Linked DNA regions of Lonchura striata. The protein of the gene in region 1 binds, or shares a complex with, the protein of each later gene. Links are inferred from orthologs where the notes say so. Each region holds a gene or a part of one and is shown on either strand. Other genes may lie near its edges. The genes, in order: DLAT and PDK3.

What was found.
Region 2: the proteins of DLAT (region 1) and PDK3 are in contact, whole or in part, in a crystal structure (PDB 1Y8N), measured with the Homo sapiens proteins. The link is inferred for Lonchura striata from reciprocal best matches to the Homo sapiens genes DLAT and PDK3. Residues at the interface, in NP_001922.2 of Homo sapiens: Ala225, Leu226, Ser227, Pro228, Thr229, Glu248, Gly249, Lys259, Ala260, Ile262, Glu265; in NP_005382.1 of Homo sapiens: Arg21, Phe22, Ser23, Pro24, Ser25, Pro26, Leu27, Phe48, Lys51, Val55, Asn373, Lys374, Ser375, Arg378.

What each region holds. Positions count from the first base shown.
Region 1 is NC_134625.1:9,522,412-9,530,047, forward strand, and holds the start of DLAT (dihydrolipoyllysine-residue acetyltransferase component of pyruvate dehydrogenase complex, mitochondrial), read left to right. Parts: upstream 1-4,586; coding exon 4,587-4,799; intron 4,800-6,168; coding exon 6,169-6,270; intron 6,271-6,523; coding exon 6,524-6,648; intron 6,649-6,764; coding exon 6,765-6,921; intron 6,922-7,636. Other genes in the region: DIXDC1 (dixin), read left to right, coding at 183-263.
Region 2 is NC_134604.1:103,971,188-103,978,958, forward strand, and holds the start of PDK3 (pyruvate dehydrogenase kinase, isozyme 3), read left to right. Parts: upstream 1-4,573; 5' UTR 4,574-4,629; coding exon 4,630-4,735; intron 4,736-7,771. UniProt on the Homo sapiens protein: Inhibits pyruvate dehydrogenase activity by phosphorylation of the E1 subunit PDHA1, and thereby regulates glucose metabolism and aerobic respiration. Can also phosphorylate PDHA2.

The DNA.
Region 1 (7,636 bases):
GTGAAAATGTGGCTCATACCTCAGCCATCATTCCCATGTGTTCCCTGGATTATTTTGGGAAATCGGAGCTAGGATTTGACTTCATGGCCCTGATGCCACTCACACTGCAGAACCCTGTGTCCAGACCCCAGACATGACCGAAACACTTTATTTATTTGTTTGTTTGTTTATTTTTATGGTAGGTGTTCCATGATGATGACATCATTCCTGGCTGGGAGGGGAAAATCGTGGCCTGGGTGGAAGAAGACCACGGGGAGAATTAATGGAGCTCTCAAGCTCTGTTTCTATGGAAACCTGTGACTGTCTGCAGAGCTCGGAGAGTGACCAAGGAGCCCAAGTGCTGGGAAGAGACCAATTCGAGCTGCCAAAAAAGAGCCTCTGTGCCAGCCAGGGGTGGTGCAGGCTGTGTGCATGGACAGCTGGCACCTGACTGCCCGTGCCCGAGGGCAGCTGCTGTCCTGGGGCTGCAGGGACTGGTCTGTGGGGCAGAAACACCCGGCTTGGCCCTGCCAGCAAAACCCTGGAGGCCTTAAGGATGCTTTGCCCCCTTCTCTTCCATCCCTGCACTTTGTGCTGCAGGCTCAGCTGGGCATCTCCTGTGCTGGTGTCACACAAAACTGCACTGATGGTGAAAATGTGAAGCTTTGCCTGCATGCAGTAGAGCTGAATTGTGAGAGCTGAAGTTGGACCAGCTGGAAGTTGTCCTGCAGGAGCAGAGTGACTCTGGACATTGCAGGCTGACAGGACCTGTTCTGGGTGGGGGGAGAGTCCTCTGGAGGGCTGATGCATGACCTGAAGCACAGCTCACCAACCTGGCCAAGCTCCTTTTCTCCCAAACTCAGGCTCCTCTTTCCCAGCCCACTTTCCCCACTTTCCAAAGCTGTTCCCATCCCTGAGGACCTCAGGGCTGGCTTTGTCACTGAAGGGATCTGGGGGATCTCAGTGCTTGTTTGTTTGCTGAAGGATTTCATGGGTGGGGGAGCTGGAATCAGCTGCTTCCTGAGGTCCTCACACCCCCTGTCCTTGCTGAGCCTCTGTCCCTGCGCTCCTGCCCTCTGTGCTGTCACCTCCTGTGCACAGACATCCTCTGCTGCTGTCCCCCCACTGCCAGGGCCACCAAGCACTTATCCACACCAGTTCCTTGCTAAGCTTAGTCCTGAAGGATCAGGAAAGAACTGCTGGGGAAAGAACTGCTCTAAAATCCCCCAAGGGTGGATTTTTTCCCTTTGGTTTTTTGTGGTTTTGTTTTTCTACATCGCCGGTGGGCTTGGGAGGTCAAATGGGCTCTGCTCCTTCCTGTGGGCCTTCCATGGACTGTGTGTGTGTGCTGTGCATGAGGCTGGGAGAGGGGGCAACCTGGTTTTACTGTTTTATATCAACGTGTCCTTTTGTAAACCTGTTCTTGAAATTATTTTGTACCGATTCACATTTGTCTGAGGACTGTGGATATTTTTATACTAGTGCAAGTGCTCTCTGTATATTTCTGCACGCATTATACTGTGTTTTACTCCTTTCCTGGTGGATGCTGAGATGTTTTGTATCATCTTCTGTTGACACAACATTGGCCTTGTAATTTTATCTTACTATGGAAATCCAACTGGTCGATACTGGGTTTTATATCAGGGTTCCTACGTGGTTTTGTGCCACATTGGCACAACACAAACTGCCTCCTGTTCTGGACAATTTCTGTGACTTTCTGTTTTCAGACAGCAGGAGGAAAGTTAATCAATGAGCAGGTTAATTAATGGGGGGAAATACATCCCTTTTGGAAAAGAAACAATGATATTCCTTCTCCCCTGGACCTCGTTTCTCTGTTGCATGGTTTCTAGTGAAGAGGGCATGGGCTTGTGATACTGAGATCAATTGTATTTCAATTGCAAACTTCTCACAAGTGTTTCATTCTTTGGGTTTTACTCGTGGGTTTTATTTCAGCAACAGCCCTGCACCCAGGCTGGAGTTTCATGGAGCAAATTATGAAGTTTTTTTCAGGTCTGTGTTGGCCAGCTTCATGTCCTTCTCTGCTATCCAGAGCAGCAGTTTGCTTTGGGAGGTTTCTCCCCCATAAAAGCAAAGAGTGTCACTTTTAAATGAGTTTCAGCTCTTGACTCCGGAGATTTTGCTACAAGATCAACAAACATAGGAAAGGGAAAGTAACTCTGAGGAAAGGTGGGCAGAAATCAACCGGGTGTAAGCAGTGCTGGGATATGGCAGTGAGAGCACATCTCACAACAAAGCCACCCTCTGCAGAAAGACCTTTTTGCTTAGGCTGAGGTGGAACCTGCTATGTTTAAGTTAATGGTGTTTGCTGCTCCTCCTGCCGCACTGAGCGGAGCCTGGAGCTATCCCCGACACCCTTGGGTGCATTTATGTGTTCTGCCCGTTCCCGGGGAGCAGAGCTGAGCCTGGCTGTCCCCTGCTGCTGGGGAGCCTGCAGAGCCCGAGGTGCCCGGTTCTCCTTGTGCAGAACCCGAGGTGCCCGGTTCTCCTTGTACAGAGTCCCAGGTGCCCGGTTCTCCTTGTACAGAGCCCGAGGTGCCCAGTTCTCCTTGTACAGAGCCCCAGGTGCCCGGTTTTCCTTGTACAGAGCCAGAGGTGCCCGGTTCTCCTTGTACAGAGCCCGAGGTGCCCGGTTTTCCTTGTACAGAGCCCGAGGTGCCCGGTTTTCCCTGTGCAGAACCCGAGGTGCCCGGTTTTCCTTGTACAGAGCCCCAGGTGCCCGGTTTTCCTTGTACAGAGCCCCAGGTGCCCGGTTTTCCCTGTGCAGATCCCTAAAATGCCCGGTTTCCCTGCACAGAGCTCTAAGGTGCCCGGTTTTCCTTGTAAAGACCCCCAGGTGCCCAGTTTTCCCCATGCAGACCCCGAGGTGCCCAGCTTTTCCTGCCAGCGAGTTTTCCTGCCGCTTTTCCCTGCACAGAGCCCTGAGGTGCCCGGTTTTCCCTGAGCAGAACCCACCGGTGCCCGGTTTTCCTGGTTTTCCTGCCGGGGAGCTGTGCAGAGGCCTAAGGTGCCCAGTTTTCCCTGTACAGACCCCCGGTGCCCGGTTTTCCTTGTGCAAACACCCAGGTACCTGGTTTCCATGCCAGTTTTCCCTGTACAGACCCCCAGTGCCCGGTTTTCCTGCCGGTTTTCCCTATGCACTGCTCCCGGTGCCCGGTTTTCCTGGTGGGGAGCTGTGCAGACCCCGAGGTGCCCGGTCCTGTGCACAGCCCCCGGTGCCCGGTTTTCATGCCCGGTTTCTCCATTCAGAACCCCCCGGTGCCCGGTTTTCCTGCCGGTTTTCCCTATGCACTGCTCCCGGTGCCCGGTTTTCCTGGTGGGAAGCTGTGCAGACCCCGAGGTGCCCGGTCCTGTGCACAGCCCCCGGTGCCCGGTTTCCAAGCCGGTCCCCCCGCTTGGAGCCCCCGATGCCCGGTTTTCATGCCCGGTCTCCCCGTTCAGAACCCCCCGGTGCCCGGTTTCTCCATTCAGAACCCCCCGGTGCCCGGTCTCCCCGTTCAGAACCCCGCGGTGCCCGGTTTCCATGCCGGTTTCTCCATTCAGAACCCCCCGGTGCCCGGTTTCCAAGCCGGTTTCCCCGTTCAGAACCCCCCGGTGCCCGGTTTCTCCATTCAGAACCCCCCGGTGCCCGGTTTCCATGCCCGGTCTCCCCGTTCAGAACCCCCCGGTGCCCGGTCCCCCGCTCGGAGCCCCGCTGCCGGCTGCCCTCCCGCCGGGCCGGGCGGGCTGAGGCGGTGCCGGTGCCTGAGGCGGTGACGGGGCAGTGCCGGGCCGGTGCCGGGGCGGTGCCGGGGCGGTGCCGGGGCGGTGCCGGGGCGGTGCCGGGGCGGTGCCGGTGCCGGGGCGGTGCCGGGGCGGTGCTGGGGCGGTGCCTGAGGCGGTGCCGGTGCCGGGGCGGTGCCGGGGCGCGGGGCGGTGCCGGGGCGGTGCCGGGCCGGTGCCGGGGCGCGGGCCGGTGCCGGGGCGGTGCCTGAGGCGGTGCCGGGGCGGTGCCTGAGGCGGTGCCGGTGCCGGTGCCGGGGCGGTGCCGGTGCCGGGGCGGTGCCTGAGGCGGTGCCGGGGCGGTGCCGGGGCGGTGCCTGAGGCGGTGCCGGGGCGGTGCCGGTGCCGGGGCGCGGGGCGGTGCCGGGGCGGTGCCTGAGGCGGTGCCGGGGCGGTGCCTGAGGCGGTGCCGGTGCCGGTGCCGGGGCGGTGCCGGGGCGCGGGGCGGTGCCGGGGCGGTGCCGGGGCGGTGCCTGAGGCGGTGCCGGGGCGGTGCCGGTGCCGGGGCGCGGGGCGGTGCCGGGGCGGTGCCGGGGCGGTGCCGGGGCGGTGCCGGGGCGGTGCCGGTGCCGGGGCGGTGCCTGAGGCGGTGCCGGGGCAGTGCCGGGGCGGTGCCTGAGGCGGTGCCGGGGCGGTGCCGGTGCCGGGGCGGTGCCGGGGCAGTGCCTGAGGCGGTGCCGGGGCGCGGGGCGGTGCCTGAGGCGCGCTGGCCGCCGCCCTCCGCCGCTTTACGGCCGCCCCAGTGTCGCGCTCGCCGCCCGCGCGGAGGTCACCGAGCGCCGCCGGCCCGGTCCGCCCGGCCCAGCCCGCTGCAGCCCGGCCCCAGCATGTGGCGGGTGTTGGCGCGACGCGTGTCCCGGGGCGCGGCCCGGCCGCCCGGCCCGGTGCGGCCCCGCCGAGCGCTCGGGGCCGGGGTCGGGGCCGGCCCGGCCCGGCACGGCCCGGTCTGGGGCGGCCCCGCGCCTCGCCCGCTGCTGCCGCCGCCCGCCTGGCCCCGGCTCGTCCCGCGCCGCTGCTGCAGCCTCCCGGCGCACCAGAAGGTGAGGGTCACCCCCGGGCCCCGGGCTGGCCCCCGTGCCCCCCGCTGCCCCTTCTTCCCCCAGGCCTCCCCCTTGCTTTCCCCAAAACTCCCCCTTGCTTTCCCCAATCCTGCCCCTTGCTTTCCCCAATCCTCCCCCTTGATTTCCCCAATCCTGCCCCTTGCTTCCCCCAGTCCTCCCCCTTGCTTTCCCCAACCCCCCTTGCTTCCCCAGTCCTGCCCCTTCTTTCCCCCTCCCTTCCCCTTCTTTCCCCAATCCTTCCCCTTGCTTTCCCCGATCCTGCCCCTTGCTTTCCCCGATCCTCCCCCTTGCTTTCCCCAATCCTCCCCCTTGCTTTCCCCAGTCCTCCCCCTTCTCTTTCCCCAATCCTCCCCCTTCTCTTTCCCCAATCCTCCCCCTTCTCTTTCCCCAATCCTCCCCCTTCTCTTTCCCCAATCCTGCCCCTTCTCTTTCCCCAATCCTGCCCCTTCTCTTTCCCCAATCCTGCCCCTTGCTTCTCCTCAGTCCTGCCCCTTCTTTCCCCCTCCCTGCCCCTTTCCCCAATCCTGCCCCTTTCCCCAATCCTGCCCCTTTCCCCAATCCTGCCCCTTTCCCCATCCCTGCCCCTTGCTTTCCCTCTCCCTGCCCCTTCTCTTTCCCCAGTCCTGCCCATTTCTTCCCCCCATCCTGCCCTTTCTCTTCCCCCCTCCTTGCCCTTTCTCTTCCCCCCATCCTGCATTTTCTCTTTCTCATCCCTGCCCCTTCTCTCTCCCCCTCCGCGTTTTCAGTCCCCTCCCCGTGCGGCTCAGTTTGCCCCGGGGATTGAAATCATCGGCTGGAGAATTCCTGTAGGATAATCAAGCCAGCCCCCTACCCGCCCGCCCCGGGGATGGGCTCCGTGGGTAAAACCTATTCCAACGCCTGGCTACCCAAACTGGGAGAAAATCAGTGATTTTTGTGTCTTTGGCACCACTTAGGCTCAAGCCCCTGGGTGGCTTTATCCTTTATCCCAGCACTGCTGTTGGTTCTTAGCAGACCCAGGCCCAGCCCTGGTGTGCTGTAACCTTTTCCTGGTTGAAATTACAGAGTGTTAAGGGGTTGGAATGGACCTTAAAGCCATGTGCAGGGACACCTTCCACCCTCCCACGTTGTTCCAAGCCCCACCCAGGCTGACCTTGAACACTTCCAGGGATGGGGCAAGCACAGCCTCTGCCCTCAGCACCCAGTGTGAGTTTGCCAGGGTTCTTCACCAGCAGCGTGGGACAGTGCTGGGGATTTGCAGCAGATCTGTGCCCCACATCCCACGCTGAGCTGAGGATTTGTCTCTGTCCCGTGTGTGCTTCCTGCTGCTGGATCTGTCTGGGCTGTGACACTGTGCTGTCCCTCACAGGTGACCCTGCCAGCGCTGTCCCCCACGATGCAGATGGGCACCATCTCACGCTGGGAGAAGAAGGAGGGGGACAAGATCAATGAAGGGGATCTCATAGCAGAGGTATCCTGGGGATGGGGCTGGGCTGGTCTCTCTTGAGCTGCACGTGTGGCCTGGGGGCTGTCCCCGGCTGAAGACAGATTTTGGATCCCAGATCCCAAGGGATGCTGGTGGGAAGGAGTGGCTGTCAGCCTCTCAGAGCTGGTTTGGGGGCAAACTTCCCTAGAGCTGCTGCCTCAGGGTGATTTTTCCAGAGCTGTGACCCTGCAGCAAACTGGGAAGCTCTGGGCTCACCATTTCCTCTTCTCTCTCAAAGGTGGAGACAGACAAAGCTACAGTTGGCTTTGAGAGCCTGGAGGAATGTTACCTGGCCAAGATCCTGGTGCCTGAAGGAACAAGGGATGTTCCTATTGGGGCTATAATATGCATCACAGTAGAAAAGTATGTATTTTCCTGACCCTCGATGTGAATTTTCCCTCCTGGGGCTTCTGGAGTGCCTTGAGTGAGAGACTGAGGCCATCACCTGATGGGCTTTGGGGCTCTGTGTGTTCTTCTAGGCCTGAACATATTGATGCCTTCAAAAATTACACCCTGGATTCTGCAGCAGCTGCTGCCCCCGCAGCCTCAGTGCCTCCCCCTCCAGCTGCAGCCCCCTCCCCACCACCTCAGCCTTCTCCTCAGGCCCCTGGCAGCTCTTACCCTCCTCACATGCAGGTAAGAGAGCACTGCTCCTGCTTTAAGGCTTCTTGCATGCTTTTTCTGCCCCTGGCATTGCTACCTGTGGGGCATTTTGCCATAAAAACTGTCTGGAATGGGAATTTATTAACTGTGCCACCTCAGTTGTGTTCTTAAAGCAGATGTCGGGGGACATCCCAGAAAGCTTTTTTAATAAATTCATTTCAGCATCCCAGCTGCTGGTGGAGGAGAGGCTTGTCCCTCCAGGGTTGTTGTCTTGAAAAATGTGCCAAAACTGCATTATTTGGACAGTTGTGGTATAAAAAGTCTTCGTGCTTAGTGTGAATAAGCTCTGCTCATAGAGCAGAGCTCCAGTCCCTGGTGCTCTGGTGACCACACCAGATGTGTCTGTGGGTGACTAATAATGAACTGTGTTTGTGGGTATAACCTTTTTGCTCTGCTTAGGTTTTGAAGTGTATCCACTGATGGATTTGAGCTCTTTGTATACAGGGGGTTGCTTTGACACCCCTTTGAAAAAGAAACTCTGGAATATTGAACCCCATCCCACAGATGAAGCATGTGGGAACTGATTTGTCTGAGATGTTACTCAAAGTCAGTAATAAAAGAATTAATGAATGGCTTCTAAATTTGTGTTTTGGCTACTAAAGTTGCTTTCTTCCCTCTGCTTGCCCCCACTGCCCAGTTTTGCTCCTGGTGTGTGTGTCACAGTGACAAAGTGATTTGCTGCAGCCTT
Region 2 (7,771 bases), on another chromosome or scaffold:
TTTAGGATTACTTTTCCCCTCCTCTGACATCCATACAAAGAAGTCCATTATGCTTAATCCCCTGCAGCTAGTTTATAGACCTACTATGTATTCTGCAGTGAAATAAAACAAGCTTTGTTAAGAAGATTATGGCTCTGGTCTGAAATTTTCACTGTGAATATATGTTCCTTGGGTGAAATATTACATGCAAAAGCTTTGATCCCTGAAAACAAGTGTGTGTAATATAAAGGTCCAGAAAGAATGAGATCTGAAAATGTAACAAAAATGCATCTTTTAAAACCTCCATACCAAGTTTGCCTACAAATTTCTGTAGGAGTGAATTTCTAATTTTAACTTTTAAGCACTCTCTTAGCACTTTAAGGGCTAAGAAAACTAAAACTTAGGGAGATTTTTATTTTCTGGTAACTTAATTTTCTCGTTACTAGACATAGAAGGGTCTCTTATTTATCTCCCGGCTCCACTGAATTAACATATAAAGACAAGTCCCATAGAAGGAATAGCAAAAGCTCTCCCATGTACACTCTGTCATTAAGGTACACAGTCCCTCCCTCCCATCAGAGCTAAAACACAAACCTAGGGGAGGCCAATTTTTAAGTACTGTCTCTAAATCCAGTGGTCAACAGTCAGTGCTAGAAATTTCTGAGGGTAGGAAACACAAAAGCTTTGCTTTTGCAAATATTCTCTACATCAGTTTCTCTGTTTTAGGGAGTCACTCTGCAGCTAATCCTGATATTGCTGCTTTTCCCTCTCAAAGTTTTTGTGAGTTAGAAGCAGTGATTTTATACCACCTCCAACACAGAAAACCAACAAAAATTATTAAGGCAAGATTGTTTATTCATATTTAATTATCCATCTCCTTTGCCACAGTGATGGCCCAACAAGAACTGATTCCATGATGTGTCTGGGGCTCCTGGGATCAAGCCAGGGGCCGTGGGGCTGGGTAGTGCTCCCTAAGCCAGGACACCACAGGCATTTTGTCCTCGGTGCAGGGTTCTGGCAAGTGTCCATACCAAGACCCTAATTCCCTTACAGGTGCTGTGGTTTCCAGTTGCCTGTATGCTCACAGATTTTAATTGAACAAGTGACTAAGTTGTTCTGGATACTAAATGGCCATGTAAACGTGAGTCATCTTTGACCCCTTGGTTAATTCCAGTTGTTCCATATTTGAAACTAACTGGAAAATATGAAAACAATACTCTCAGTAAAAGAGAGATGATAAAAACACCAGAGAAATTCAGCAGTGTTAGGTGTTATCAACGTTAAAATCAAATTTTCTTAAGGAGTAAATAATTTCTTTCCTGTATGCCTGTAGAAGTTTATTAACATTTAATCAAAGATGCAGGGCGGCTCTCACAGAGTTCAGGAAGCTTTTCTGCACCAGATATGTTCTGAAATACATAAAGAAGGCAGGTATGAGGTATGAGAAATTCAATCGGTCCAAAAAGCAAAACTCAGCTTCTATAATTTAATCCTATGGATCCCAGTGATATTTTGTACTTTGCACGGGTTATGCCACTAACTTCTCTTCATTTAGGTAGATTGTTTAAGAACTAGGTTTATGTGTATTCTTGCTGCTTCTTGCATTGGTAAAACCATAGCCTTTCCCATGTGCATTTTATGTTCTCTCAAGCAAGTCCTGCAGTCTTCTTAAGCACAAGGCCACAAAGAGCTGCTGGGTGGGTCTGGGATTTGAATGTCTCTACAGTGTGTTTCCAACAGTTTTTGGAGAATTCGAGTTGTTGGTTTTGTCATCAATTTCTCCAGAGCTGAGAGAAGCTACTGGGAGTCTGATAAGAAGAGCACACCTCTGTTTCGCAGTGACTTTGTGCGTGTCCTCATTGTGGCTTTAGTCTGTATCACCATAGACAAAAACAATTCCAATTTTTCACATGGGTTGGCTAATATAAGATTAAGAAATTAAAAAAAAAAAATGATGCTGTGATGCTTTATATTGCAAAAATGATTTTGTGTTTAGAAAGACAACTCAATAGTTAACTGTTGTCTTGCCACTTTTTGAAGCTGAAATCACACTAGAATTACTTTAAAATGTGAAAGATACATAAAATCAAGTGGTTTAAATGTTGATAATTAATCATAATTTGAAGCTGCTAATTTCATCTTAATTTGGGAAATGTTGTTCTGTCTTTAACAAAAAAAGACAGTTTTCTGCCAGATAATTCCACAACTGATTTCAGTTATGCTCTAAATGAATCACAATCAAATCCTGATGAGTATATATAACAAAAGTTTTAAAACACTTTTCCCACCTGCCAAAAAAGCTTCAGAATTACAGTAGATGATTCATTTTGTCAGTCTTGATTACGTGACATGCTTCTTCAAGCCAGTCATTCCTATAAGCTGCAACTGAAGTGATTTTAAAATGCTTTCCAGTTATTTGTACATTAGGTGAGGATTTCTCAGTCTCTAATTCAGTGAGGACAATCATGACAGAAAGGATGGAGAGAGACTTCCAATAATTGAAGAGTACTGGGTTTTTTTGCAAGTCAGTTATAAAATTAGAGTAATACTATCTTGTACCTGCTAAAACTTGCATTTAATTCACTGGAGAAAAATAAGGAACTGGTCACCAGTTATTTGCCTTAAATGTACCTAAACCACATCATAGCAAAAACCAATCAGTGACTGCATTCAGTGATACATTTTGATACTACAATACCTTGCTTCACTTTTGATTCTAGACATCAAAATTAATTTTAATTGTGTTCAGATGCTTTCTCAGATAAAAATGGGAAATTTTCAGAAAATTTCAACTATTGTAACATGTAGTGAACTTAGTTCTACCAGCCTCACACCCGCTGTACAACCCAGTGGATACCTGAGGGCTGTATTTTGGCTGGAAGCAAGCACCCTGTTATGGACCAGGTGAGACATATGAACTGGTCCATACAAAACCTGAAGAGAGGCTGTAGCCAGGTGGGTTTGGGCTCTTCTCCCAGGCAACCAGCTACAGGCCATGAGGACATAGTCTTAAACTGCCAGGGGAGGGTTAGGTTGGACATCAGGAGGAATTTCTTCACAGACAGGGTGATTAGATAATAGAGTAGACTGCCAAGGTGTTGCAAGATGTGGAATATGTAAAATTTGCTCAAGAAAATATGTTCTTTGATGTTTGAGCTTTGTATATGTTCAAGCTTAATCAAGAAGCAGATTTAATCTGTGAAACAGATAGCAGCTAGCAAGCAAGCTCTAAGTGATGTCCAGCTGTCAGAAAAACAACTTGTTGGTAGAATTGCCTTGTTAAGGTTAGGGCTTGACATGATGTGATGATCTCGGATGTAGAGGGAGGTTAACAGTCCTTGGGGAGGAGGATGCCCACTGATAGTGGACACAAAGAACGCAGAATTCACGGGCCACAAGGACATCTGGCAGAACTCTCAACATTAAGAAGAAACCAATAAAGCTAACTCAGTAATTGTGCTGAAGTCAGCTCCAGCTGGGTAAAAGGTGGTTCTGGCAGGGGGAGACTGGGACCGCCGACTCCTGGCCCAGGAAAGCCCTGCACCAGAAGAGAGGTCTAATTAACATGGCAGGTGGGAGAATCATTGACCAATAAAAGAATACTGATTAATAAGAGAGCTATGTAACTTGTAGCCAATGACAACCTAATCTTTTGTTTGCTAAAATCTATAATTAGCAAAAAGTTTTGATAGTTGGCGTGCTTGACTCATAGAATATCACTGAGCACTCTAGCTTGCCCAACCCTGAAACAAAACATCTCTTTCTCGAGTATTATTACTGGCTTTTCACACAGCAGGTCATGAAACCGATTTTTGTGGACAACACGGTGGCGGAGCGACCGTCCTTGGAGGAAAGAGAGGGAGGAAAGAGCGGACGTGCCGCTCAGCGCCATGGCGTAGCTGGCACGGCGGTGTTGGGTCGCAGGCTGGGCTCGGTGATCCCAGGGGTTTTTCCAGCCTGGCCGAGGGCAGCGCCGGTGCCCCCGGGGCGGGCTCAGACAGCCGGCGGTGCCCCCGGGGCGGGCTCAGACACCCGGCGGTGCCCCCGGGCCGGGCTCAGACACCCCGCGCTCCCGCCCCCGGGGCGGGCTCAGACACCCGGCGGTGCCCCCGGGGCGAGCTCAGACACCGGGCGGTGCCCCCGGGTCGGGCTCAGACACCCGGCGGTGCCCCCGGGGCGAGCTCAGACACCCGGCGGTGCCCCCGGGGCGAGCTCAGACACCCCGCGCTCCCGCCCCCGGGGCGAGCTCAGACACGCCGCGCTCCCGCCCCCGCGGCCGCGCTCCCGCCCCCGCGGCCGCGCTCCCGCCCCCGCGGCCGCGCTCCCGCCCCCGCGGCCGCGCTCCCGCCCCCGCGGCCGCGCTCCCGCCCCCGCGGCCGCGCTCCCGCCCCCGCGGCCGCGCTCCCGCCCCCGCGGCCGCGCTCCCGCCCCCGCGGCCGCGCTCCCGCCCCCGCGGCCGCGCTCCCGCCCCCGCGGCCGCGCTCCCGCCCCGCCCCCGCGCGCAGCGTGCGCGTGCGCGGAGCGGGCTCGGCGCTCGCCCCTCCCGCCGGGCCGGGCCGGGCCGCGGAGCGCGACGGGCGGCGCGGAGCGGCCGCGCCCGGGCAGGAGCCGCCGGCGGCGGGAGCGCAGCGGAGCCGGGCGGGCCGCGCCATGCGGCTGTGCGGGGCGCTGCTCAAGAGCCCCGTCCCCAAGCAGATCGAGTACTACTCGCGCTTCTCCCCCTCGCCCCTCTCCATCAAGCAGTTCCTCGACTTCGGTGAGTGCGGGGCCGCGGGGTGAGGGCGTGCGGGGGTCGCCGCGGCTCTCCCGGGCAGCGGCGGTGGCGGCCGGCGCGCAGGCCCCGCTCCTCGGCCCGGCTCCTCGGCCCGGCTCCTCGGCCCCGCTCCTCGGCCCCGCTCCTCGGCCCCGCTCCTCGGCCGCATCGGGAGCGCGGCCCGGCCCGGCCCGGCCCGGCCCGGGGCCCCGCAGGGCCCGCGCGGACAGCCCCGGGCCCGGGCGCGGTGTCGGCACCGGCGGACAGCCGCTGCTCGCCTCGCCGAGGGGCCGGAGCGGCGGGCTGGCTCCTCCTTCCTGCGTTATCCCTGACACGGGTACCATTGGGATGGGGGTCAGCATAAGGGTTCCTGACCTGATGTTTTGTGAGCTTAGCGAGTGAAGGAGAGAGTAAAGTAATGGTCTTGAGCGTGAACATTTGCATCTGCCGTGCTGAGATCGGCTTACTTAATGCTCGGACGTGAACTCTTAACCTCACGTGTATAGGAGACCTGTTTGTGTAAAATTCATGAGCACTTCAGGAAATGTTGCTGATGATAAATAGCATTTTTCTTTTCAGAAGCCCTGGAATGAAATCCAGGAGTGGCTTGTGTTGTTAAAAAACATGCTTCCATCTAGATAATGATAAACTCATTTCTGTATCGGAAGTTATTTGACTCTTGCTCTCTGACACGAGAATTGTTGAGATTTTATTAACCTATAAATATTGCTGGTAAAGTGAATAAAAAGGCCATGTGTAACGTCATGAAGCTTAACACAGAGTGTTTCTTCATTACACTCTTACAGTAAGGGACAAACATGAGCCAGTGTTCAGCCAGAAAGTGATTAAAAGTGAATACAATTGCACAATTATGGTAATGGTATTAGTGAAAGAATGCTGTAAGTACAGAAAGCCAGTAATGGGCTTGATAGATGTCTCAGTGAAACAGGATTTTGTACTGTTAAAAAACCCAACAAAACCCCCTGTCTCCACTTAAAGGAGAACCTGAGTAGAAGTTGTGCTTTCTTTCTCTGCTCTCCGTTCACCTGAGTTTGTTACCTCTTCCCCACCCCTTCCTGTGCTGCTGGGCTTCTTCTCTAGCATTGGTGCTTCTTATGCTGTGTCTTTCTGTACTGACAAGAACAACGGCCTAAATCTTAGAACATCTTTATTTTAGCCCTGGCACTAAACAAATTGTGTCACTGTAGCTTATTTGAAAGTTGGGTTTCTGAATTGTTGCTGGGGAAGTATTAGTGTTTGTGAGCCTTTTCAGTTGTGACTAGAGGTGTAAAGATTTCAAGATTTGCTTTAAAGCCTTGGATGTTCGGACAAAACTTTGCTTTTTGGTAAGTATTTCTACAGTTCTATGTTGCCCAGCGTTACTGTTTGCCTTTGGACATCTCTTCTGTGGCAGCTTTTTCATTATGCACTTGTTTTAACATTGTAGTGCCTGTATTACTTTATGGTCTTGTGATTCTTCAGAAGAAGTAGTTTTCTTTTACAACTTTAAGTCTGGCTTCTTTTACTGGAAATGAACAGAGCAAGAACAGGAAGTTACAGCCTGGCCAGCCTTATTCTTTAGATATGCTCCAGTTCTCACTGGATGTGTCATTGGAATCTTCTGTATGTGTGGCCATGTATTTAAGGGTCTTCATGTCTTAAGACTGATGGGAAGCTATGTAGTCACTGACATTTAAAACCTCTGAAGAAAAAAAAGTCTATGGTTTAGTCTTGAAAGGTTGCCAGGAGTTTCTAAAATTAGTAGGTCTATGTTATATCAACCTTGCTAAACCTATCACCTTAATCTTAATAAGTTTTATGGGCCACTTAACATCTTCACTTACTTACTCTTTAATGCTTGTATTTATTTGGGAAAACTCAAGTAGGAAGATTACAGCAGTTTAAGGAAATAAATGGAACCCAGTGTAGTTACTTAACTTACGTGATCCTAATTGTTTACAGCTTTGGGTAATTTCAAGTTCAGCTGGAGTCTTCATAGGCCTAAAGGAAAATGTGAGTGATAGTGCAAAAGTTTTCCCACTTGAGGTGTGGAAGGCCTGAACAATATGCACCATGTCAGGGAACTGTGTTGCTTATGTATTGAGTTAGCCAAAAAAGAATTTGCTGGTGTCACAGGACACAAGTATTCAAGAGACAAAATATGCCAAGCATAAGGAGCACAATACTCAAGGTGCAGTTCAGTGGTGCTTGTTTATTTGTAAGAATGTTTGATGGGAAGAAGACACTGTTTTGTGGTCAGCTTATAGAGGCTATTTGGTGTCTCACTTCAAATAAATGGTCTTTTTAATTGAGCTACATGAATGTAGTGCTAGTTTTACAAAAACGTGGCTGAATTTTCAACAAATGCTGAAGAAGAGTAAGCCCAAAGGATATGTGTGAATAACCCTATAATGGTTGTCTGATTTTGTTGTCTGATGCACATTTCTCATACAGAATTTACACGTACTGCGATTTGGATTTGTGTGAAGAAAGTTTTTCAACTTGATTTCTGATGATGGTGAAACTACAATGTGTTCTTTATGTCCATTTTATATTGGCTGTATTGGTTTAGAGTGAGTTGACTTACAGAACTGTAAAATTCTGGTGAGCCAGGGGAGAGAAACTGTATTTCCTATGAGCTGAAGAGTCTCTTCAAAGATAGTTGGCAGCAATGTGTATTGAAGTGCAGCTTGGGCTTTTTTAAATTACTGACTACCAGTGTGGGTTGTATGGAACACAGTTGTGTGCATAGCGAGGCTGTAGAGTCTCTATTTCTTTCCAGTCATATAAATTAATGACATTTGTTTTAAAACTTTCTCTGCTTCATTCAGCTATTTAAACCACTATAAGAGACAGTTTGTTTAAAGTAGCTTGCTAGTACTAAAAACCTGTGAGGCAAACCAGAAGGCAGTAGTTAAGGCAGTGACACTTGCTTGGCTTTGTAGCTGAGTCCTCTTTGCATCCATGTCCTGTTGAGCTTGCAGCTGTCTTTGTAGCTGCTGTGAGTGTGTCAGAGGTTACTGTGCCGTGGGCTTGGGA